Linked DNA regions of Neodiprion lecontei. Each later gene encodes a partner of the first gene's protein in a complex. Links are inferred from orthologs where the notes say so. Each region holds a gene or a part of one and is shown in the gene's direction. Other genes may lie near its edges. The genes, in order: transcription initiation factor IIE subunit beta, general transcription and DNA repair factor IIH helicase subunit XPD, general transcription factor IIF subunit 2 and DNA-directed RNA polymerase II subunit RPB3.

Region 1 (3,948 bases):
AAGGAATTTTCCGAATTAATTAACGATATTCGTATTAACTTCCACCCGCTGCTTGCAATGAAAATAGTCGGAAAACTGCCACCGACTATTTCAGTATAGGGCCACCTTATGTATTGCCTAACTGGTGATTATTACTGCCAAATATCGATTGAAAACTTACAGCGATTTTCAACAAATATGATATAAGAAACACGAAGCTATACGCAACTACCGGTGATTGCGTTATGTATTGAGCATGTAGCAATTTTCTCGTCGTAGAGTCAAAAAACCGAAAGTCTTTTTATAAATTTCTCTGCTGCTAGTCCAACGCTGTTTTTGATGTCATATTTTCTGCATTTTTGGGGGTCCGATTAATCTAGAAGGCATCAAACAAATCAATTTGAGACAAAAGATTTTTTGGTTCAAAAAGTAGGACTAACCTCTTTGGATTTTTTCAGTGGGAGTTTGTCTGACTTTGTAAAATAGTTGAATTACTTTTTCAGTGCACCATCTCGACTTAACTTTCCCAGACGAATCCATTGCGCAGTCTAGACACGCTGCCAGCTACGCATAAAAACTTACGGCTAAAGAACATGAATTTTGTACCGGGTTTTCAAAGAGATGTAAAAGCAAAATCACAAACTCACAGCTACAAAGTTCCAGTTCCAGTTTATCCAATGTGTCTTAGTTCTCGTACAAGTGTTCAGGTGTCAGTGTATTCATCTATAGACATGTAGACAGTCTGTGTTCAACAAGCTGCCAAGTAATATTAAAGTGAAAGACAAAGAGACTAGGAGGAAAAAGAAGTAAAATATACATCACTTCAAGCAAAATACGAAAAACGTTGTATGAGATAGTTATTTTTGTAGTTTGTGAGTACGGTTCAAGTTCTGTCCTACACACAGGTGCAATGTATGTACATACATACATCTGCAGGATACGATATGTATGATATTGTATTATTACTATTGCATGGAACCTGTATTACAATCAATAAATAAACAATACCCCTGTGTCCTCTTCGCATTTTCTCGACATAATTCAACGAGAGATTTGATATTCTCCATTTTTTCACACTTTCAATTAACAATCCTAGATTTTTTAACTCTTCGAATGAAAATGTAATTGAGATCCATTGACCTAATCACGTGGGTTTCAACGCGCGGCAATCAACCGTTGCGTCGGTATCTATTTTCATGAGCCAATTTTCCCGCCGACACGGCGTGAAGCTGCCGAATCAAGTCGCCGTCGTGTCGGAACCGTGCTTAGACAGTTGCCGTCGCCAGCAGGCACAGGCGCATTTCTTACGCTGCAGAGATAACAGTACATCCAAGAGATGAAGTATCACGAAGGTAATCCGCGAATGGTACGTGCGGACAGAGATGAATTCCCCTTTCGAATCACTGATCACCATAATATAACACAGTCAATATGTATACTGACAATTAATCTAAGTTCGCTAATGTTTATCGTCTGTTAGTTCTCAACCACCCACCAGCATTCCCCGTGATAAATGCACTCTACATTATCGACTACTTTCGATATCGACATTCGCTTACCAACGAAAATTAGTTCACGAACTTCTTCGTATCAGAGGGCGCTGGTAGGCGAAAAACGTTAGAAACGCACCTGTCAACTGTTTTGAGGGTGTAAACTGCAAAGTGTAAACTATCTAAAAGGCAGACTTGTTAAATTCATTTATATCCGTGATAAACTCGTACGGTAGAAGTTTTAAGAATTACGAAATGGATCCAGCGCTGTTAAGGGAGCGAGAGCTCTTCAAAAAGCGAGCCCTCACCACACCAACGTGAGTAAAACAACGCTGCGCGTTTCTAACCTGTAAATTAGTGAGAAACTGTGAATTAACCGCATTGCGAAGAATTGAAAAATATTGGAAGGCTCTGAAGTGCTTAGTTTAAGAAATAACCGCCTCTTAACACTTTCAGTGTAGAGAAAAAAAAGAGAGAACCCGAGAAGGAACCGATCCGTGATGAGCCGCCAAAAAAAAAGAGCAAGCCATTATCCTCCTCTGCCGCGCCGAAGTTGGACATGGTCAACTACAAGACCATGTCTGGCAGTTCGCAGTACAGATTCGGAGTCTTGGCAAAAATAGTTAAGCACATGAAGTCGCGGCATCAGGAGGGCGATGACCATCCTCTCACCCTCGACGAGATTTTAGACGAGACAAATCAGCTCGACGTCGGATCTAAGGTGATCCAAACATTTTGTAGAACTGCTTAAAAATACTTGCGATTATTTCAATCAAAAGATAAATCGTGCTAAAGCCAGAGCTTGCATTAAAATTCAACTATACTACCAGTAATTCTATTTACCATTCTTTATTCGTGCAGGTAAAACAATGGCTGCTGACAGAGTCGTTGATTAACAATCCAAAGATCGAAGTCTCTCCAGATGGAAGATTCTCCTTCAAAGCGATGTACAAAATAAAAGACAAGAAATCGTTACTCAGACTCTTGAAGCAGCAGGATCTTAAGGGACTCGGAGGCATCCTGCTTGAAGACATTCAGGAGAGTTTGCCGCATTGCGACAAAGCTCTGAAGGTAAATCGTTCTCCCTCAGGATATTAATGAGCTATTATTTTGGTGCAAATCGTGTTATTTTTTATCTTACTGATGCGCAGAGTCTCCAGAACGAAATACTCTTCATAACAAGACCTTTGGATAAGAAAAAGATAGTGTTCTACAACGACAAAACGGCCCAATTTATAGTCGACGATGAATTTCAAAAATTGTGGAGGGCTGTTGCAGTCGACGCAATGGACGATCAGAAGATCGATGAATACCTTGAGAAACAGGGAATTAGGTCGATGCAGGATCACGGACCAAAGAAGCCTGCACCCATTAAAAGGAAAAAACCAAACGCAAGGAAGAAGCAGTTCAAAAAACCACGAGACAACGAGCATTTGGCAGATGTTTTGGAAACCTACGACGACAATAAATGAAGCCGAAATTTAAAGACTTTATAGATAGATGGCTTAATCAAGGATTGTAAATATCGTTTGTATAAGAATAAATAAACAATGTGATTTATTATTGTTATCGTCTAAACTAGCTTGTAAGTACAAAATAAATATATATCTATAATATTTTGAACAATAACTAGTCCGCTTCATCTATATTTCAATTGCCATTTCTTTCCTCTCTCTGAATGAATATATTAAAGACCAATAAGCCTCTCGTCTTGCAATATTTAGTTACATCGGAAGTCTACCTAGTTGTATTCGCGACTACATAGGTATGATGATTGAACCGAAGTATATTGTAGCACAAAGTTTAAAAAATAACAAAGTATCAAACGACGATCGTTGATACTTTTTCCGCCACCATGGAATTCCATAGAAAGTGCATTTCAGACATGAGATTTCGAGGATTTTCGCGCAACTTTGCAATTTGCTTTCTATTTCTCACGGCCAAGTTGTGCGAAATGGAAAAAGCATGATTCGTGATTTGCATTGATATATTAGAACTGTTCAAAGTGTATTCAAAGATTAATCTGTTCTAACGCTTGTTAAACAATTTTCTCCTGATATCCACGTTATTCAATGCTTGATCCAATTACATGGGTTCGGATTGTTGTCTTAGCGCGCTGGATCATCGGGATTCAAGTTTCCGCAAGATCTTATTTGGTAGTGGCAATTAAAATACTCCAAAAGCGTAGTATTTGAGTACAATACGAATGATAGTAAAATTAACGACGGTAATTATATCGATCTTAAAGGCACTAAGTCAAGTCTTCAGCACCTTAGGGTATAATAATTTAACTTACGATTTACACAAATTATACAACCTTCAACCAGATTATTTTACAGCATTAATATAAATTGTAATAGTTGAAATATAACGACGAAAGCGTTTCAGCTCCACGGACATACAGGGTATCCCGTCGTAAATCATTCGTTACAATATCTCTAATTGTAAAACTAGAGTTGCTGTTGAAAAATTTTTCAGA
Region 2 (8,035 bases), on another chromosome or scaffold:
CGGCCAAAACGACAATCCTCTTAAAAAAATACTTATGTACCACAGAGAAGTTTCAAGCTTGATCATAATTCTTAATGAAATTAACGAATTGACTGAGGAGAATGGAAAGAGTTCGAAATGGAAAACGGAGAACTGACCATGAGTTTTCTCAAAACTTCCAATATATTTGAGACAGCTTGAACTGTTTCTCAGATTGCGTCTTCTGGACATGCCAGGTGATGGCTGGATGAAAAATGCAAGACGAAATCATACAGTGTGAGGGTTGACTGAGAAAATTGCTGTTGTTGCAAGTCAGGAGGAAAGACCTATTATTACTGGCCTTCGGTCATCCTGAATTATAGAGGATGTAGTTGAATTCTAAAGCTTTTATACCTGTTATTTCATGTCACCTGCGTATTCATGACTATCTTACAAGTGAAAGAACTATTATTTCCGTAACAGCTCGGTGATATGAAGTTGGGATTCCCACTAGGCAGAGATGGAAACAATTATCTCCTTTACCAATCTAATACTTTTACAGTAAAAATTGTTTTATTCAATTGAGGAAAAATTGATTTTCTCAATAGAGTAAAATCAAACGTCGGAGCATTGCACATAGTATGCGAAACTACAGAATGGGAGGTCTTGAGTTCAAATGATGGGTCAGATGAATCATGTCGAACAGGTGCTGAATTGACAAGCTGAGATTTGAACTCGGCATGGCCACACTTGGGGAAGGTTTTTCACAGTTTTCCTTATCCTCTGTGTGAATGCGGATGTTTCTAATAAACATCTTAAAATGACAGCAGACACATAATAATGGTCACTAACCGATGCCTGTCTCACCCTGTATAAGCTGTCCGATTATGAGTACATACACACATATGGCGGGACTGAACGTGATTATTATTATTATGTTATAAAAGAAATTGATGTATATTGACATAATCGTTTTACAAAAAGATATCCATAACTTCATGTAAAAAATACATTACATACAAAATTATTTTTTATCAGACTGCTACTAAGATGAAAAACATGTACTTAGGAACACCAAAATTAGAAGTAACCATACTATAAAAAATATGTTTAGCAAACGTGAATGAATCATCAAACATTTTAACACACTAACTCCAGATTTCCTTGGAATAGAAACTTTTCGTAGACTTTAAACGCGTCACTTTGCCTTGTTTTGACGATGTGAATGCTTATGTAAGAAATTTATAATTGTGCTACAGATGTTAAATTCCTACTAAGTTTTTAGACTAGCTTTTTTATATGAAATTTTAGAGGCAATACAATTATCCGGATGACAATTCACTATCTGATTTCTTTCAACAAGTTTCGTGCGTCTTCCATTACTCAGGTGACCAGAAGAGCTCAAATCACTAGCTGATGGACATTGGAAATTTGCATTGCAGATGAATGACGAACGACTATTCCTCGAAGGTTGCGTCCACCGAGAATCCCTGTAGTGCCTGTGATGTTGAGAGACTTCCTCTGCACTTTGGTTATTAATCACTTTCTCCTTGTTAGAATTTATCCTCTCCTCAGCAAGCAGACTCTGAATGTTTGTTTGAGTTCGAAGCGCATGTGGCAATGACAGTTCGCGCAATTGGCATGCGACACTTTTGCCTAGCAAGTATAAATATGACAATTAGCCCATGGAGAATGTACAAAAAAACGTTAGTATTTTGCAAGAGAGTCTTTTAAACATTTCAAATTATAAGATTTTCTTACCAAAAGCATCAAATTCATCGCCATACTTTTTTTGCGACTTGTGTTTCTTGATCGAATTGGTTATGACTTGTGACTTTACTTCTGCGTTCGAAGCTCTGATTATTGAACAATCGCCAGAGGTTGAAAATGAACTGATATTCGGAATGGATTGCAAAGCTCTAGGTGTTTGCTGCCTGATAAAGTCATGTTGCGAGGCAAGATTAATTTTCTGTTTTAAAGGTACAGCATTTTTCGTCAACTTTGTTGGGGATATGTCGAGATTGAGTTGAGTTGGAAAATGTCTAACACAGCTGGGACACTGGTTTATTGGACAGCAACGTTGCGAATATAACAACGACTGGGAGGTGTGATGGTTGAATTCTTCTGGCTCACCATTATTCGCCTCAACATGTAGCGAGCTATCCTAGACATGCGAAGGTAATTTGATCAGAATAGTTATATACATAGGAATAATTTTTTTCAGTAATTGAACTTTAATCCTGGTAATAAACTAACGGCGTTAGAATCCTGTTCTGTGATATAAGCGCGTAAAAATTCGTGGATCAATTCAAACCAAGTGATTTTTGGCTTGTAGGGGAATCCCCGGAAGTTAGCATCGTTGATCTTTACCAATTCCATGCGATAGATTCGCTTTATTTGCTTTATTCTGTCGCGAACCTCGTTCACGGTCAGATCGCGAATGTTCAGGTCTCGAATTATCCCCAGGTATGCGGTGTACCGTGCCTCCAAATCATTATACGAATCACTATCGTGTTTCCACAGGCATTCGTGCCGAATGTACGATAAAACTAGTTTGTAAACTCGCGCCTCTGTCCATTCTACGGGCATTTTAACCTAGCGGAAGCTGACATTTACATCAACGTATAATGCACAATTTCGAAATACAACGAACGCGAAACGAAACGTATCGTATTACAATTCAATTTCAAAGTCTGTCACATCTAGCAAAATATCACAAACGCGGGTTAGAAATAACTAGTTAAATATTCGAAAGTATTTTCCAATGTACGAATCTGAAGTTCTGCAAATGTTTTTGTTACCAATAATTTTTACAAAACATGGGTACCCATTCCATCTTCATTTTCAACAGTGTTCTCAGTATTTCAAAAATTCTATCTAAGGTTTTCAAATATCACACAATCATACTATTTTACTGAAGCAACAGTTATAGTAGTGATGTTGTCATCTGCATTTGTAATACAGTCTTTGCATGTAATTTTTCGATACGATTTCGACTAAACTTCTCTATAGAAATCAATTTGATGCACTAATCTAATTTCATGTAGTCAAGATTCTTTGGTGCAGACTAGCTTCCAGAGATTCGCCATATCACGTATGGTAATACCCATATAAGTGGCTATGTATGTACATACATACGCTAATGTTAGAAATTGAAGTTCATTCATCCGACCAGCAGAGCAGCAAACGCAAGATGTTTTTGGCCGTGTTCGAAAATTGACTGACAGTACTGTCAGCAATCTTTCATCTCTTTTGCGCTTCCAAGTTCATGGATAGCTCTGACTCTGTCCTAGGGAATTTTCAGTACTGTCAGTCAATTTACGAACACGGCCTTTATAAGCAGTGCAGCTGCGACGTTAAATTACTAGGGGTGTATTCCGCCAGGGAACTGTGGCACACTTTGGCAGTAAATGACCAGTAAATAGTACCAACCGCTAGTTAGAAAATTCAAAATATACTATTACTGGACTGCCACAGTTTCCTTGCGGAATACACCCTAGACAGATGTTAGTAACATCTAGTAAGTTACTAAACTGCTGCTGGTTTTTGCTACTCATGAAAGTTCACCTTAATACCTCACCTAACTTAACTGTCACATTCAGAAAAAAAACTAACCTAATCTAATCCTGATACCCTGGATTCGCACGAGCGGTCGGCAACCTGACGCATGTAAGCATCGTAAACGTGAACTTTGGAGGCTATAAACAATAAGAACCAGTGAAGTAGATTTGTTATAAATGTGGCAGAAAGAAATTCGTAAACAACAAAAATGAAGTAATTATCTGGGTGTAATTTCGTTATCAAACAATAAGCAACGAGAAAGTATTCCGTATTATGAAATAAACTTGGCATCTTCTTCTTACAGAATCAGTGTCGACGGATTGATTGTGTACTTCCCCTACGATTACATTTACCCGGAACAGTATGCGTACATGTTGGAACTCAAGCGAGGTCTCGATGCTAGGGTAAATCTTGCCTTTAATAACGAGATATCACACCCCATATTAATAAGCAGCTTACAAATTCGCCTTCTTAACCTCCAAACTGCGTTTCCAAACTTCACAATTTATCTTACGATATAAATATACATTATTTTATTATTTCTCTGAAGCTTGCGAAGATTTGATCCTTCAAAATATGTTTATTCATGTAATTTAAACACTTTGAAGGAAAACTGATTCAATGATTTGCCAAGAGATTGATTCCTCCAACTGATGAGTAAACATTCTTTAAGTTAAAAAGTTTTCAATGTCTTACTTTCCATGCATATGAATAATAAAATCATTGTAATTATTTGGAAAAACAGTAGAATGCTTGTTTTTAAGTGAGGAAACTTCTAAATATTGCTCATGCTCTCATGCAGGAAGAGCTTTTTTTAAATGCCATACAACAAGCTATAAATTTATTCCTTTGTGTTTAATAACTCGCAATCAAGCTTTGTCAATTTCATGAAGGTTTAAGAATAATTCTTTGTAGTTGAGACACATTAATTAACAGAAACTTTGTTGGTCTTTCAGTGCTACTTTCATGAAATAGGCTAATCCTCCTCAAAGAATTCAATGATTAATAATTTTTAATACCATCATTTGAAAAATAATTACACGTATCAACAAGCATAGGAAAGTAAATTATTAAAAATTATCAAATCAGTTAAGGCGTCTCTAATATAATGAATATATATTCTACAGGGTCATTGCCTCTTGGAAATGCCTTCGGGTACTGGAAAAACTGTGACATTACTGTCACTGATTGTGGCTTACATGCTGCAAAACCCCTTGAAGATAACTAAATTAATATACTGCTCACGTACAGTACCGGAGATAGAGAAAGTCATAGAAGAATTAAAAAATCTTATAGAATACTATGAAAAAGAGGATGGAGTAAAGCCAAAACTTGTTGGATTGGTGCTGAGCTCTAGGAAAAACATGTGCATACATCCAGAAGTTCGTTGAGTATATTATTCATTCATTTTCTAATAACAAAGAATCAGCTGATTGATAAGATGATTATATTTTTCAGATAAGCAGGGAACGTGAAGGAAAAATTGTTGACGGTCGATGTCATTCCCTCACTGCCTCGTATATAAGAGAAAGGCATAATTACGATGAATCAACGCCAGTTTGCAGCTTTTATGAGGGATTCGATTTAGAGGGACGTGAACAGATTGTGCCTGCTGGAATTTATTCCCTGGATGACCTGAAAGAGTATGGAAGAGACAGGAATTGGTGTCCATATTTTTTGGCTAGATTTACGGTTGGTCTGTTAATTATTTAAGTTCATTGATCAATTAATTTATTAATTTATAAACCTGTTTCTTTACTCGTTCTTTTGAAAACAAAATTTTTGTTGTCATATTATTGTCACCACTTCTCTCTTCTTATTTCTTGACTTGAACAATGTATATTTTGTTTTACATAGGACTGGAACTGTTTGAATCATGTGGTCCAGTTACAGATTTGAAAACTTTTCTTTTATCTTTCAGATACTGCAAGCTCACATCGTTGTATACAGTTACCACTATCTTCTCGATCCAAAAATTGCTGAAACTGTATCTAAAGAATTGAGTAAAACATCTGTTGTAGTTTTTGACGAGGCACACAACATCGGTAATAATTTTCTATTTAATCAAACTTTTAAGAACATACGTGCATACAGCATACATGGGCATAAATTGAACACATGAAACAAATGGATATACAAACTACATCGTATTGTTAATGATATTGGGGAGCCAAAAGTGTGGCCACATCCATTGTACTTAACAGAAGATTTTCGACATTATTTTCAGACAACGTATGCATAGACTCAATGAGCGTCAAAATAAACAAAAGAATAGTTGAAAAAAGCACGGCAAATATACAAATTTTGGAGAAAACTGTGGCTGAGTAAGTTAAACCAAATCACAATTAGTTTATATAGATATTAAGTTCCAAGTTTCACACAAATTTTCTAGTTCATAAAAACCGACATTGCTCTTTGTTATTCGTTCATTTATGATTTTCAGGATGAGAGAAGACGACGTGAATAAATTAAAAGAGGAATACAGTAGATTAGTTGAAGGCCTCAAAGGTGCGCAAACGGCAAGAGAAACTGACATTATTTTGTCCAACCCAATTTTGCCAGATGAAGTACTTCAAGGTAAGTCTAACTTACATGAGTAACTTTCATCCGATAAATCAATGAAAATGTTGTGAAATGGTTATATTTTCTTTGCTTTACTTACGGTGAGATATAGCGCTGATTAAAAAATGCATGTATCTTTTTTCCAGAGGTTGTTCCTGGCAACATAAGAAATGCCGAACACTTTGTTGGATTCTTGAAGCGGTTTGTAGAATACCTAAAAACAAGGCTTCGAGTGCAGCATGTAATGCAGGAATCGCCAGCTGGATTTCTACGCGACATCCAGTCTAAAGTTTGCATAGAAAGAAAACCCCTGAAGTTTTGCGCGGAGAGATTGGCATCGCTTTTACGAACGATGGAAATTAGTGATGTTACAGATTTTTCGCCTCTGATTTTGGTCACGCACCTTGCCACTCTTGTTTCCACGTACACAAAAGGTTTCACTATCATAGTCGAACCATTCGATGATAAAACACCAACGGTTCTAAACCCAATTCTACATTTTAGCTGTCTCGATTGTTCTATTGCTATGAAACCAATATTTGACAGATTTCAGTCAGTCATTATCACCTCGGGAACACTTTCGCCCTTAGACATGTATCCAAAGATCTTAGATTTTCATCCTGTAATCATGTCGTCGTTTACCATGACTCTTGCAAGACCTTGTTTGTTACCAATGGTGAGATTTCGTCTTTGCATATTTTACAGTTAAAAAAACAATGCAGTACTTCATTCACGATGACCGTTCAATCGTTCAATTAATTTTCAGATCGTTGCCAAAGGTAATGACCAGGTAGCGATATCATCTAAATTTGAAACTAGAGAAGATGTCGCCGTGATAAGAAATTATGGACAATTATTGGTAGAATTCTCAGCAGCTGTACCAGACGGTTTAGTCTGTTTTTTCACCTCTTATTCATACATGGAATCTGTAGTTGCTGCATGGTAGGTAGTGAAGAGAATCTAGCATAATAATTGAACACATGTGTGAATTTATGATTAAAAAATATTTCGGCCCGGCCGAAACGTCGGAAACATGTGGTTTTTTAACCAAATAAATTAATTACAAAACTGACCGGATTTCGACTAAACATGATTCAATCATTAAAAAATATCGTTATGTTTTTTTTAGGTATGATCAAGGAGTAGTAGACCAACTTCAGAGGCACAAATTACTCTTCATCGAGACACAAGACTCTGCAGAAACAAGTTTGGCCTTGATGAACTACATAAAAGCATGCGAAAATGGACGTGGAGCTGTTCTATTATCCGTAGCTCGAGGCAAAGTGTCAGAGGGGGTTGATTTTGACCACCATTTAGGAAGAGCTGTTCTTATGTTCGGTATACCTTATGTTTACACTCAGTCCCGGATCTTGAAAGCCAGACTAGAATATCTACGAGATCAATTTCAAGTTAGTATCAGAAGTTTTGTCATTTTAAAAGTTATGACATACCTTGGATTAAATTTTCAGTCAGGTTTTTTCTAATCTATCAAGACATAAAATGTGCAATTTTTCTTTAAATTTCAGATAAGAGAAAATGATTTCTTAACGTTTGATGCAATGCGGCATGCCGCGCAGTGCGTTGGCCGAGCCATAAGAGGCAAAACTGACTATGGTATCATGGTGTTCGCGGACAAGGTACTGTACCTTAAAGTTTTTTATAATTCATCACAGATTGGAGTTCCTGTCGATAAATGATAGCTTCTACGTTGTTACTGAAAATGATTTGGTTTACAAACTTTTCAGCGTTTTTCAAGAGCGGACAAAAGAAGCAAATTGCCCAAATGGATTCAAGAACACCTTACAGACAGTCTTTGCAATTTATCAACAGAAGAAGCAATACAGGTTCTGAAATGACATCAATTATAATCTCCTGAAAATACTATAGATATGAAATGTAATCCTGAAGATGTTATCTTCGTATTATAATCAATAATCATCGTTAAATTCGACAT
Region 3 (5,465 bases), on another chromosome or scaffold:
AACTCAACGAGTGCAGAAAAATCATGTAATCAGTGCGACTTTCCTGCTCATGGGATACGTCAAGGAGCGAGAGATGCGAGTCGAGGTCGTCAAAGAGGATCATATGGCATCTGCGAAGGAGAAATTTGAAAAAATAATATCCGAGCATATTTACAGCTTGCAAAAAACTCTCCCTGAGATAGAGCTACTCGCCATTACTGACAAAGGCGATTCTCAATTGAGCGCTGTCCACTCTTCTCAGTCTGTTCTCAGGTCTGATCATGAGATGGAAGTTCTTCGTTGGGGTAGCGCCTTGTTAGCGAATAAACAGATGAAAAACAATACTCAGATTACAGCTCCGAAAGTTCGGGCAAATGCGAATACCGAGTCGAAGCTTACTGATCAGGCCAAGAATGTCAAGGAGTCCGGTGCTAAATCGACCACAAATAAAACAGCAGCGGCTAATTCGAGTGCAAAAACACAGAAAACTGCCTTCAACAATTTTTTTGCTAAGGCCATAGATAAGCAAAGCAAGGAGAAGACATCTGTGAAAGGTGTGAAGAGTAAACCTGTTGCGTCAAGCAGTAGTTTGACAACTACTTCACCCCATAAGAATAACTGGTTCGAGGAGAAGAAGAAACCTATTAGTTCGGACAACAAGGAGGCAAAAGAAAATCCGGAGAATATTAGCGATTCAAAAAAGCCTAAACTTAATGAAGACAAAGAAAAATCTCCGAAAACTAATTTACCGAAAAAGAATGCATGGTTTGAAGCAAAGAAAAAGCCTCCAAGTACCAGCGACAAGGAAGCAAAAGTACAGGTGGAGAGTTGCAGCGATTCGAAAAAGGCCAACGTAGAAAAGTTTGAAGAAAAATCACCACAGACTGAAAAAGTTAGCAAACAAGAATCGGCGGTGAAAAATCTCAGCTCTGGGAAAACTGGCGATAAAAAAAAAGTAGCATCTTCTTCACGAGGAAAAAAACGCAAGACTTCTTCAAAGGGCGAGAATACTAATAAGAAACGAAAACGTATAGTTGTGATATCTAGTGACGAATCAAGTGATGACAGCGAGACTAGGGATGATATTGAGGAACCTGATAGTTCTGAAGAACCACCGCAAGTTGTTGAAAGAGTTAAAAGTTCTCCTTCGCCACCTCTGGTCAAGTGTGAAGGCGGGAGGCGCAAAGTTCGGAAATTGGTCGATAAAACGTTTGTCGATGAAGATGGGTATTTTGTCACTCAAAAAGAATACGTTTACGAAAGTTGTTCAGATAAGGAAGAGGAAATGCCGGTAGAGGCTGCAAAACCTTCTACCGCTGATGTTGCAGCAAAGACTGCTAACAAGCGGAAGCAAGTATCGCTGCTTAATTTCTTCAAGAAGTCGTAGTTAACTAATACGTGGAAAATGTAACTGTAATGATGAATTAAAATATTCGTTGAATATATGCAAGTCATAGACGTGAACTATACTGTACATTACTGAATTTCAGCGGGAAAATATGAAATTACTCGCAATAAAGATAGAATATTTTTGATTCGTATTAAGGAAAGGAATAAGGAATTAGCGATGCTTTCTTTACAATCAAATTATGGAAAGTTATAAATTTTACGTCTATTATATTTGTTTCTGTCGTAATCTTTTTTTTCCTGTTACCTGATCAAACCCCTTTTTTTTTTTCTTTCTTCTTTTTCACGAATCCAGAACGTAGAAGTTGTGCAATCACAAGAACTGTACATACCGAAGAACAAATCTGTTATTTTTGTTAATAAATGCGCATGATATGTTTAGGTAGGGGTTTACAATAATACCGCGATATTTGAATACGTGTAAAAGCCCGGCGTTGACTCTTCTGGTAAGCCGTTCTCACTGCTGCCAAATATAATAACTAAATTTCCCCAGAATTTCGTAAAAGGTAGTCCTTTCAATTTTTACAACAGACTATCAGAAGCAAGTGTTTCTGTTGTATGTACAATTTATTTTACCTCTATTTAAACAGTTATTTACAGAAGATAAGTATAACGGAGTATTACCCTTCATTTCGCCTCGTTAAATACTGAAAGTCTATAATTATTGAGGCCATTTGCAACAAGGTAAGCAGTGCCAATATTGAAATCTGGCCACTTTAATAGTCAGTTTGGTTAGGTTTGAGATAGTTAATGTTTGTATCCAATATGCAATAAGTAATTAGGTTAAAGGTGACAGAAACTAGCGTTCGACCCATAATTGCCAGGATGAATGCGAGAATGGAAACTGAAATATTTTATTTTCAGGTATCATGTCTGCACCGCCTCCTCACACAGACCGAGAATTAGATTTGAGTAATGCAGGACGAGGAGTATGGTTGGTTAAGGTTCCTAAATATATTGCGAACAAGTGGGAAAAGGCTTCCGGAGATATAGAAGTTGGCAAGCTGAAAATCACAAAGTTTGTTAAAAATGTTAAATTAACCGAAGATCGTTTACGATTGTAGAAATGACAATCATTCCATCGCTCCACACCCTCCCCTTGATCATGAGGGTTGTTTTATCCGCAGAAATCCAGGGGCCAAAGCAGAAGTTTCTCTAAGACTTTCGGAAGCTGTTTTAGCTCTGAAGGAACGAGAGGAAGAGGAAATTCCAAAGGCACACCGGCTGGATGTAACTACTGTCACTCGTCAAATGCTGGGTGTATTTTCTCATGTCACACGTGAGTGTGAACAATTTTTGTGGCTGTATGCTTTTCTTTCAAAATCACTAAAACCATTAGCTAGTCTATTATTACTTTGATCCTAGAATTGCTCAAAGTACGAATTAATAAATTAGGACAATGCAGCATGCATTCTCTGGCTTGAATCTATGCATCTACTAAATTGTCTATTCCAATGATTTTTACAGCTGCTAGCACTTCGGATGCTATTGTTCCAGAGACTGAAAAACTTTACATGGAGGGTAGAATAGTGCAGAAACTTGAATGCCGCCCTTACGGTAAGTATGGGTGATTCAGAATCGTTGAACCTTGACTTTAGTGGCAAATTTTCAGAAAAGTTCAATAGATTGAAATATTCTTCCAATCTTCGACTGCGTTGTTAATTTAAATTCGAAATTACATTTTTAGCTGACAACTGCTACATGAAGCTTAAGTTGGAAAGCATAAAACGAGCATCGGTGCCTCAGAGGCAAGTTCAACAATTGGATAGGGTTGTACAGAATTTCAAACCTGTATCTGATCACAAACACAACGTAAGTTATGAATGTAATTGTTGAAGAATTTTACCGTGTTTTCTGTTTGTCTTTATTTGGAGATTTTATCTGCATTATTTTTACAGATCGAATATGCCGAAAAGAAGAAGGCTGAAGGCAAGAAGATGAGAGATGACAAAGACGCGGTATTAGAGATGCTATTTGCAGCATTTGAGAAACATCAGTACTACAATATTCGAGACCTTGCCAAAATCACCAGGCAGCCTATCGTAAGTTATGCCACAATCTTATAAAATTTTTTTGCAGACATATACGATTTTTCTGAGAATTGGGGAATTACACTTTTGCAATGATTCATGAAAAAATTGATTTACAGGTTTACTTGAAAGAAATTTTGAATGAAGTGTGCAATTACAACTTGAAGAACCCGCACAGAAATATGTGGGAATTGAAACCTGAGTATCGTCATTACAAGGATGATCAGAAGCCAGCGGCAACTGCCACAAAAGTTGATGACTCAGACGATGATTAGTACTTTGTTTTATATACTTTTTTAGAATGTTTGGACGATTTGCTGCCTGTGATTTGCTAGTTCAGATCTTGATTTACTGAGTTCACTGATTACAATCGATCAACTCATAGATCGATGCAATTTCTTAAATGGAAATTTATTTGATTCGTAAAGGCGTTCCAGGAATAGCTTCGGTGAATTTAAGCAGAGTTTGTGAGATAGTAAAGTGATAAATCGCGTCCCCATGGAATAATTCTTCTATATCGACGCCAGGCAAAGAGAGAAAATAAAAGACTTTCTCTTGTCATAGGATCCAAATAATAGGGAAATTTGCGGAAATCCGCATTGGATGATTTGTAAATAGTGATATATTGTATTTATTTTTACATCAATCGTTTAGATGCGAAGAGAGAAGTTGAAGAAGCAAAGACTTTATCTCAGATGTAGATTTGTTCATATTGTTACTCGACATAAGTTTCATACGGAAATATTAAAGAGAATCTACAAATATAATGGTGCGTAGGAGTAAAAAATATATCAAAGCATAATGAAACGGTAATGCACTTTAAAAAAAATTACATTACAGTATATTTAAACATATATATATAAGATACAATTACACCAGCCATCATGCTCTGATTTATAGAAATCAAATCAAGGCTTCTGCTCATCCCAAAGCATAGGGAGACTGTCTGGCTGTCTCAAGAGTAAAGCTGCCTCTGGCACTGCAAAAATAATGTTAATCGCTCATTAGTTCCGAAGCTGTAATGGCAAAGCTCCAAAGTTTTTTTCTCTTTATTGTAACTGGTTTGATACTAATAATTCTCGGTGGACATACACAAGTATCTCCGCAGCTGTTTTCTGTACTAAACAAAGTTTTTCTACTCGTACTTACAATTTGTTAAAAACTCTACCACCCATGTACACTTCGTTGTGTCGGTCAAGTGCTTCCAGGTACATTGAACGTGTTCCTGTGGCACGGAAACCGGTCGGGTTCCTGATAGATTCTGCGAAGAAGTAATAGGCGCGGGAATGGGCGCAGCTCCCTGTAAAGGATAATGTGTTAGAGTGCTGCGATATGCGCAATGACAAACTCTCAACTTGTGCGAAACTTACCGACAAGGTCCAGTCCGCATCCAGGCTGACTGCTACCGCCGTTGGGGTAAAAATCGGTATCACCAATGGCATCCATGATGCCGAGAAGTCCTCCATTTGTGTGGATTATCTGAACATGGTCAGCGTCAGTTTGGTGAATTCGGGATCCAGCTCCAGCAGAGTTAAAAAGAGGAAGCGCTGGGTCGAGACCTGTGAAAATATTCGTGCAATGATGAAAAACGATTCCTTGTGTAAAGAAGACCGGATTTTCGAACGAGTTAAAGAATCTCATCTGCCTTTTACTCACCTATGACAGCGTCGATTGTGCCCTCAGCGTTGCGGGCAGCAATTCCAGACACGTGAGCACCTAGAGAGTGTCCAACGAGTTTCGTCGATGCTACGTTGAGGCCGGCGTTGGCGCTGAGGAAGTTGATCATCAGACTAACTCTGGCGGCAACACCTCTGACGCTTGATGAAGCACTCACGTAAAGAGCACCAGCAATGGAACTCCAATCGATCACAATCACGTTGTAGTCGCCTTCAGCTAGGTAGGCTGAGGATAAAAACGAGGAGATATGAACACAAATATGAACACAGGACTCAACGATGTGAAGTCAAATTACGTCTTAGAAAAAACAATTTTCCTGTAATTCTTACAACCGGTGTGAACTTAGCATCCCCATCATCTCTATGTCAAAAA
Region 4 (4,141 bases), on another chromosome or scaffold:
GCGCGTGACTCTTCCAAGTCTTCCAGCTTTTTCTTACTTTCCTTCAGCTCGCGTTCGTGGATTGTGTACTCCAGACACCGCCGCTGTTTGTCCCAGCGTTGGTACTCCTTCAGCTCCTCCTTTTCCTCCTCCAATGTCTTCAAACGCTCCTCTGTAAGGTTACAAGTGTGTGAAATCATGAGATTGTACCACCTTTGGGGAATGTATAACTACAATCGAATCATCTCACCTATGGTTCGCAAAAAGTCTTCTATTTTCTCAAGCTTTCCTTCAGTCTCTTTAAGGATCGCCTTTGACTCCTCGCGTCTATCGTCGTAGACTCGAGTGCCGGCCACTTCTCTGAGCAATTTCAACCGCTGCGAGTCTGGGGCCGTTGCCATTTGGTTGATCTGATGAAAGTCAAGGAAACAATCGATTTCAGAGAATGAAATTATATTAGTCATTCCTATAAAATTCTGAATACACAATAATATCGAATGTAGTTAGTATCATTCGGATTATTTGACATTTAGCAAAATACAAAATATACAAAACTTATTATTGGCGCATACCTTTCCCTGCTTGACGATGTAATATGGATTGGACCTGGAAAATCCAGCCGATTCGAGCAAATTCATGACGTCGCTTCGCGTCACTATTTTCTTGTTCAGAAAGTACTGATCTTTTTTCGACCCGATCATTCGCCTGAGATAAACCTCATCCTTGTCGATCTGTAAAGACAGTGAAGCCAAAAATTAAACAGATATTTCTGCAAAACAACTTCGTATCTGGATGATAAATTAACCAGAGAATAAAAAACAACCAACTGCCAACGTAATGATCGTTATCTTGTTTCAATATAAATTTTAGAAAACTGTGCAGCCTTGTGTGCTCCAAGGTATAAGCCAGGAAGCGTTAACCTTGCTGATGTGGTGTAATAAAACCCACCGGAAGACGTCCATCCGAGTTGTCAAAGATAATTTCGACATAAGCAGAGATGACGCGTGGACCCGTGCCTTCGTGGAGAAGGGCTTGACGCTGCTCAGGCCGAAGGTGGGAGAATTCGTCGCTAAGCACAAACTGGATAGCGTAGAAAAAGTTGCTCTTGCCCGATCCATTCCTGCCGACTTGAACAAGTAAAAATGTATAAAAGGGCTGATAGAATCATGAAATCTGAAAGACAAAACTAAAGGTACGGAAAGAAGAATATCTCTACTCACCGACCACATTGTGCCTCGGATCGAAGGGCACTACAACGGTCTGTTCTCGATAGGATTTGAAACCTTGTATGATAACCTAGAAGAAAATGCAACGTTATCATTCAGGATGATTTTCGAAATGACTGCAGTGAGATTTGAGGGCGGCTTACCTGTTTGATGTACATGTTAGTCTGCGAGCTGGACGATCGTTGGGTCCGGTTAGCTCACACAGTGTATTCAGAGTGACGTTTGATACCCATCACAACGACGGATCGACGCCACACGAAAACGGCGCGTCCGGGCGTTATTCTACCGGCTTATTTTTACTGAGGGTTTTTTACGCTTCGGGGTATTAATCGGGCTCCCAAAAATCGTGTTTAGAGCGTACTTTTAACACAGAGAAATAACAAACACGGTGCGTGGACACACTCAGGTTTGCCAACTGTTAACCATTTCGGCGGGAGCGCTGAAAACTGCGTCGCCTCCGATAATGCACGAAGGTTCCCGAACGATACCAAACCATAGGCTTAAAGTAGCTGCGCGCTCTATGCACCACTCAGGCATTGAAATCGTGCAGTCTATCACTGATGAAGCACCGCAACCCCCTGACACACGCTGCTAAATGTGGTTCGCAAAATGTCCTTCGATTCTGCCGCTAATTTCCACCACTAGTGGCGCTAGTAGTGACCTAAGGAGCTTGCGCGCGGTCAGCAAGGGCAGCGAGCGTGTCAGAAGTCTACTAGCGCCACGTAAAGGAACTAAAAAACGGGGACAAGACGCGTACAGATTTTTAGTATACGAGCAGTGGTGAGTGTCAGGGGCATGATGCACCGTATCTTGGTGGCCATCTTGCGTTAACCTATGGGATTTTTTGGAGCTAACGGATTATTTCGGCACACATTCTACTTCAAGTGACCATTGAACATTGAATAACCGTGCACAAATGACAAGTTTGAGTTTATTGCGAAAACAGTGGAGTGTTTTTGCATTTTTGCATTAATTGAGAATAAAATAATACAGAATGCCGTACGCTAATCAGCCTTCGGTTCATATAACCGATCTCACAGAAGAGAACGTTAAATTTCAGGTAGAAGACACCGAACTAAGGTAAAAAAACAAAATCCTAACCTAACTCGACGTGTTTTAATCAAAACGATCTTCTTATAAACTCGCTGTATTTTTCAAATTTTTCGGAAAAATTTATGATGTAGCTGTAAAAATTTGCCTTAAAAAATTTTATTCGCCATTTTTGCCACCTGCTTTTTCAGTCGCTTGACAAAACAGACTAGCGTTCAATCTCATTATAACCTCGTATGTTCTGTGGTGCAGCGTAGCCAACAGCATGAGGCGAGTGTTTATTGCCGAAACTCCGACAATGGCCATAGACTGGATACAGCTTGAAGCGAATTCAACAGTTTTAAGTGACGAGTTTCTTGCACATAGGATTGGAATGATACCGTTGATCAGTGACGACGTGAGATCGATTTATTTTTGAAACCATTTCTTGCTAAGAAAGAACAATAGTTCTACTGCCTGTTCATTTGTTTTCGTAGGTGGTTGACAGAATTTTATACACAAGGGACTGTCAGTGTATGGATTTCTGCCCTGACTGCAGTGTCGAATTCACACTGGATGTCAAGTGCGCAGAGGATCAAACTAGACATGTGACAACAGCCGATCTGAAATCCAGTGACCCCAGAGTGCTGCCAGTTACTTCGAGACACAGAGAAGACGATGCAAGCGAATATGGAGAGACAGATGGTTGGTTTACAGTTTTCATGACCACTCTGTTTAGTTTGTAGCATTAATAAGTTGCTTTGATATCATAAATTATTCCTACACAATGTTTTGATCCTTTCGTTTGTAGAAATACTCATCGTCAAACTGCGAAAAGGCCAGGAACTAAAGCTGAGAGCTTATGCAAAAAAGGGATTTGGAAAAGAACACGCCAAGTGGAACCCCACTGCTGGTGTCAGCTTTGAATATGATCCAGACAATGCGATGCGTCATACATTGTTTCCCAAGCCCGATGAGTGGCCAAAGTCGGAATATACTGAGCTCGATGAAGATCAGTGTAAGAGTAATTAAATGAAGAAAATTTTAACTTACTTCAAACAATTTGTGCATCTACACGCAGTTCTTATTTTTTTGTATGTACAGATGAAGCGCCGTTCAACTGGGAAGCGAAGCCTAACAAGTATTATTTCAATGTCGAAAGCAGTGGTGCTCTGAAGCCCGAAAATATTGTCATGATGGGTATAGTTGCCCTGAAAAACAAATTGTCTAATCTGCAGACACAGCTGAGCCACGAAGTACAAAATGACGCACTTAGCATTCATCACTAAATATCTGTAATAATTTATCCCCACAAGCACTCAAACTATCGATTTAATAAAAATAATAATAACAATAAAAATCATAGTAACTGTTGTTCTATTTTTTCTTTTATAGTTCAGAATTTATACCGAAACAATAATACCGTAGCGTATATGAGATGGCGTTTCATCCTCTATGGATGTGAAATACTGTTTACTTATCTTGGTACAATTTAGCGATGGCCACTAAGGCAAAAATGATTAAGTCCAAAATATAATCTAACGCATCTCGATTGAATCAGTAAAAATTAATCGATTATGTCGTATTTTCTGAAACGGTGCATTTGAAATCAAAATTCGTAAAGTTTGGTACGTAGTCTTGAAAGCGAAAAAGTTTTTTTGATAATTCATCGTTTTATTTCAAACATTTAAAAATTATTGAAAAATTTATAAAGTAGAAGAGATATAAAAAAAATTTTGATATAAAACCTGAAGTCGTCTCATCTTTAAAAAATAGCTGTTTAATGTAACAAGCTTCCTTGTCTGGGTTCAAAGCAAACATTCTCTCGTTGTTCACATGAATTAAGTATCTATCTGTATCCAACCATTTTGAACTTGAAAACCTTGAGCGTTTGCTGGCTCAGTCTC

The links.
Region 2: transcription initiation factor IIE subunit beta (region 1) and general transcription and DNA repair factor IIH helicase subunit XPD share a complex: the UniProt entries of both Homo sapiens proteins name them as parts of the TBP-based Pol II pre-initiation complex. The link is inferred for Neodiprion lecontei from reciprocal best matches to the Homo sapiens genes GTF2E2 and ERCC2.
Region 3: transcription initiation factor IIE subunit beta (region 1) and general transcription factor IIF subunit 2 share a complex: the UniProt entries of both Homo sapiens proteins name them as parts of the TBP-based Pol II pre-initiation complex. The link is inferred for Neodiprion lecontei from reciprocal best matches to the Homo sapiens genes GTF2E2 and GTF2F2.
Region 4: transcription initiation factor IIE subunit beta (region 1) and DNA-directed RNA polymerase II subunit RPB3 share a complex: the UniProt entries of both Homo sapiens proteins name them as parts of the TBP-based Pol II pre-initiation complex. The link is inferred for Neodiprion lecontei from reciprocal best matches to the Homo sapiens genes GTF2E2 and POLR2C.

Annotation. Positions count from the first base shown.
Region 1 is NC_060261.1:43,445,241-43,449,188, forward strand, and holds transcription initiation factor IIE subunit beta, read left to right. Parts: upstream 1-1,587; 5' UTR 1,588-1,724; coding exon 1,725-1,786; intron 1,787-1,925; coding exon 1,926-2,190; intron 2,191-2,330; coding exon 2,331-2,540; intron 2,541-2,620; coding exon 2,621-2,941; 3' UTR 2,942-3,417; downstream 3,418-3,948. UniProt on the Homo sapiens protein: Recruits TFIIH to the initiation complex and stimulates the RNA polymerase II C-terminal domain kinase and DNA-dependent ATPase activities of TFIIH. Both TFIIH and TFIIE are required for promoter clearance by RNA polymerase.
Region 2 is NC_060266.1:18,325,563-18,333,597, reverse strand, and holds the start of general transcription and DNA repair factor IIH helicase subunit XPD, read left to right. Parts: upstream 1-1,997; 5' UTR 1,998-2,128; coding exon 2,129-2,136; intron 2,137-3,547; exon of another isoform or gene 3,548-3,727; coding exon of another isoform or gene 3,728-3,732; intron 3,733-3,823; coding exon 3,824-3,923; intron 3,924-4,646; coding exon 4,647-4,901; intron 4,902-4,977; coding exon 4,978-5,211; intron 5,212-5,440; coding exon 5,441-5,564; intron 5,565-5,746; coding exon 5,747-5,843; intron 5,844-5,962; coding exon 5,963-6,096; intron 6,097-6,227; coding exon 6,228-6,757; intron 6,758-6,847; coding exon 6,848-7,023; intron 7,024-7,210; coding exon 7,211-7,490; intron 7,491-7,607; coding exon 7,608-7,718; intron 7,719-7,826; coding exon 7,827-7,925; intron 7,926-8,035. Other genes in the region: odorant receptor 83a-like, read right to left, coding at 1-66. UniProt on the Homo sapiens protein: ATP-dependent 5'-3' DNA helicase. Component of the general transcription and DNA repair factor IIH (TFIIH) core complex, not absolutely essential for minimal transcription in vitro.
Region 3 is NC_060262.1:4,432,733-4,438,197, reverse strand, and holds general transcription factor IIF subunit 2, read left to right. Parts: upstream 1-1,892; 5' UTR 1,893-2,070; intron 2,071-2,116; exon of another isoform or gene 2,117-2,175; intron 2,176-2,250; 5' UTR 2,251-2,255; coding exon 2,256-2,404; intron 2,405-2,513; coding exon 2,514-2,665; intron 2,666-2,853; coding exon 2,854-2,943; intron 2,944-3,073; coding exon 3,074-3,198; intron 3,199-3,284; coding exon 3,285-3,428; intron 3,429-3,535; coding exon 3,536-3,691; 3' UTR 3,692-4,337; coding exon of another isoform or gene 4,338-4,395; 3' UTR 4,396-4,565; coding exon of another isoform or gene 4,566-4,716; 3' UTR 4,717-4,786; downstream 4,787-5,465. Other genes in the region: DNA polymerase delta subunit 3, read left to right, coding at 1-1,366; phospholipase A1 VesT1.02, read right to left, coding at 4,338-4,395, 4,566-4,716, 4,787-4,975, 5,073-5,318. UniProt on the Homo sapiens protein: TFIIF is a general transcription initiation factor that binds to RNA polymerase II and helps to recruit it to the initiation complex in collaboration with TFIIB.
Region 4 is NC_060264.1:23,015,993-23,020,133, forward strand, and holds DNA-directed RNA polymerase II subunit RPB3, read left to right. Parts: upstream 1-1,991; 5' UTR 1,992-2,199; coding exon 2,200-2,285; intron 2,286-2,507; coding exon 2,508-2,652; intron 2,653-2,731; coding exon 2,732-2,939; intron 2,940-3,045; coding exon 3,046-3,252; intron 3,253-3,338; coding exon 3,339-3,523; 3' UTR 3,524-3,599; downstream 3,600-4,141. Other genes in the region: structural maintenance of chromosomes protein 3, read right to left, coding at 1-151, 230-389, 552-710, 928-1,106, 1,200-1,275, 1,349-1,363. UniProt on the Homo sapiens protein: Core component of RNA polymerase II (Pol II), a DNA-dependent RNA polymerase which synthesizes mRNA precursors and many functional non-coding RNAs using the four ribonucleoside triphosphates as substrates.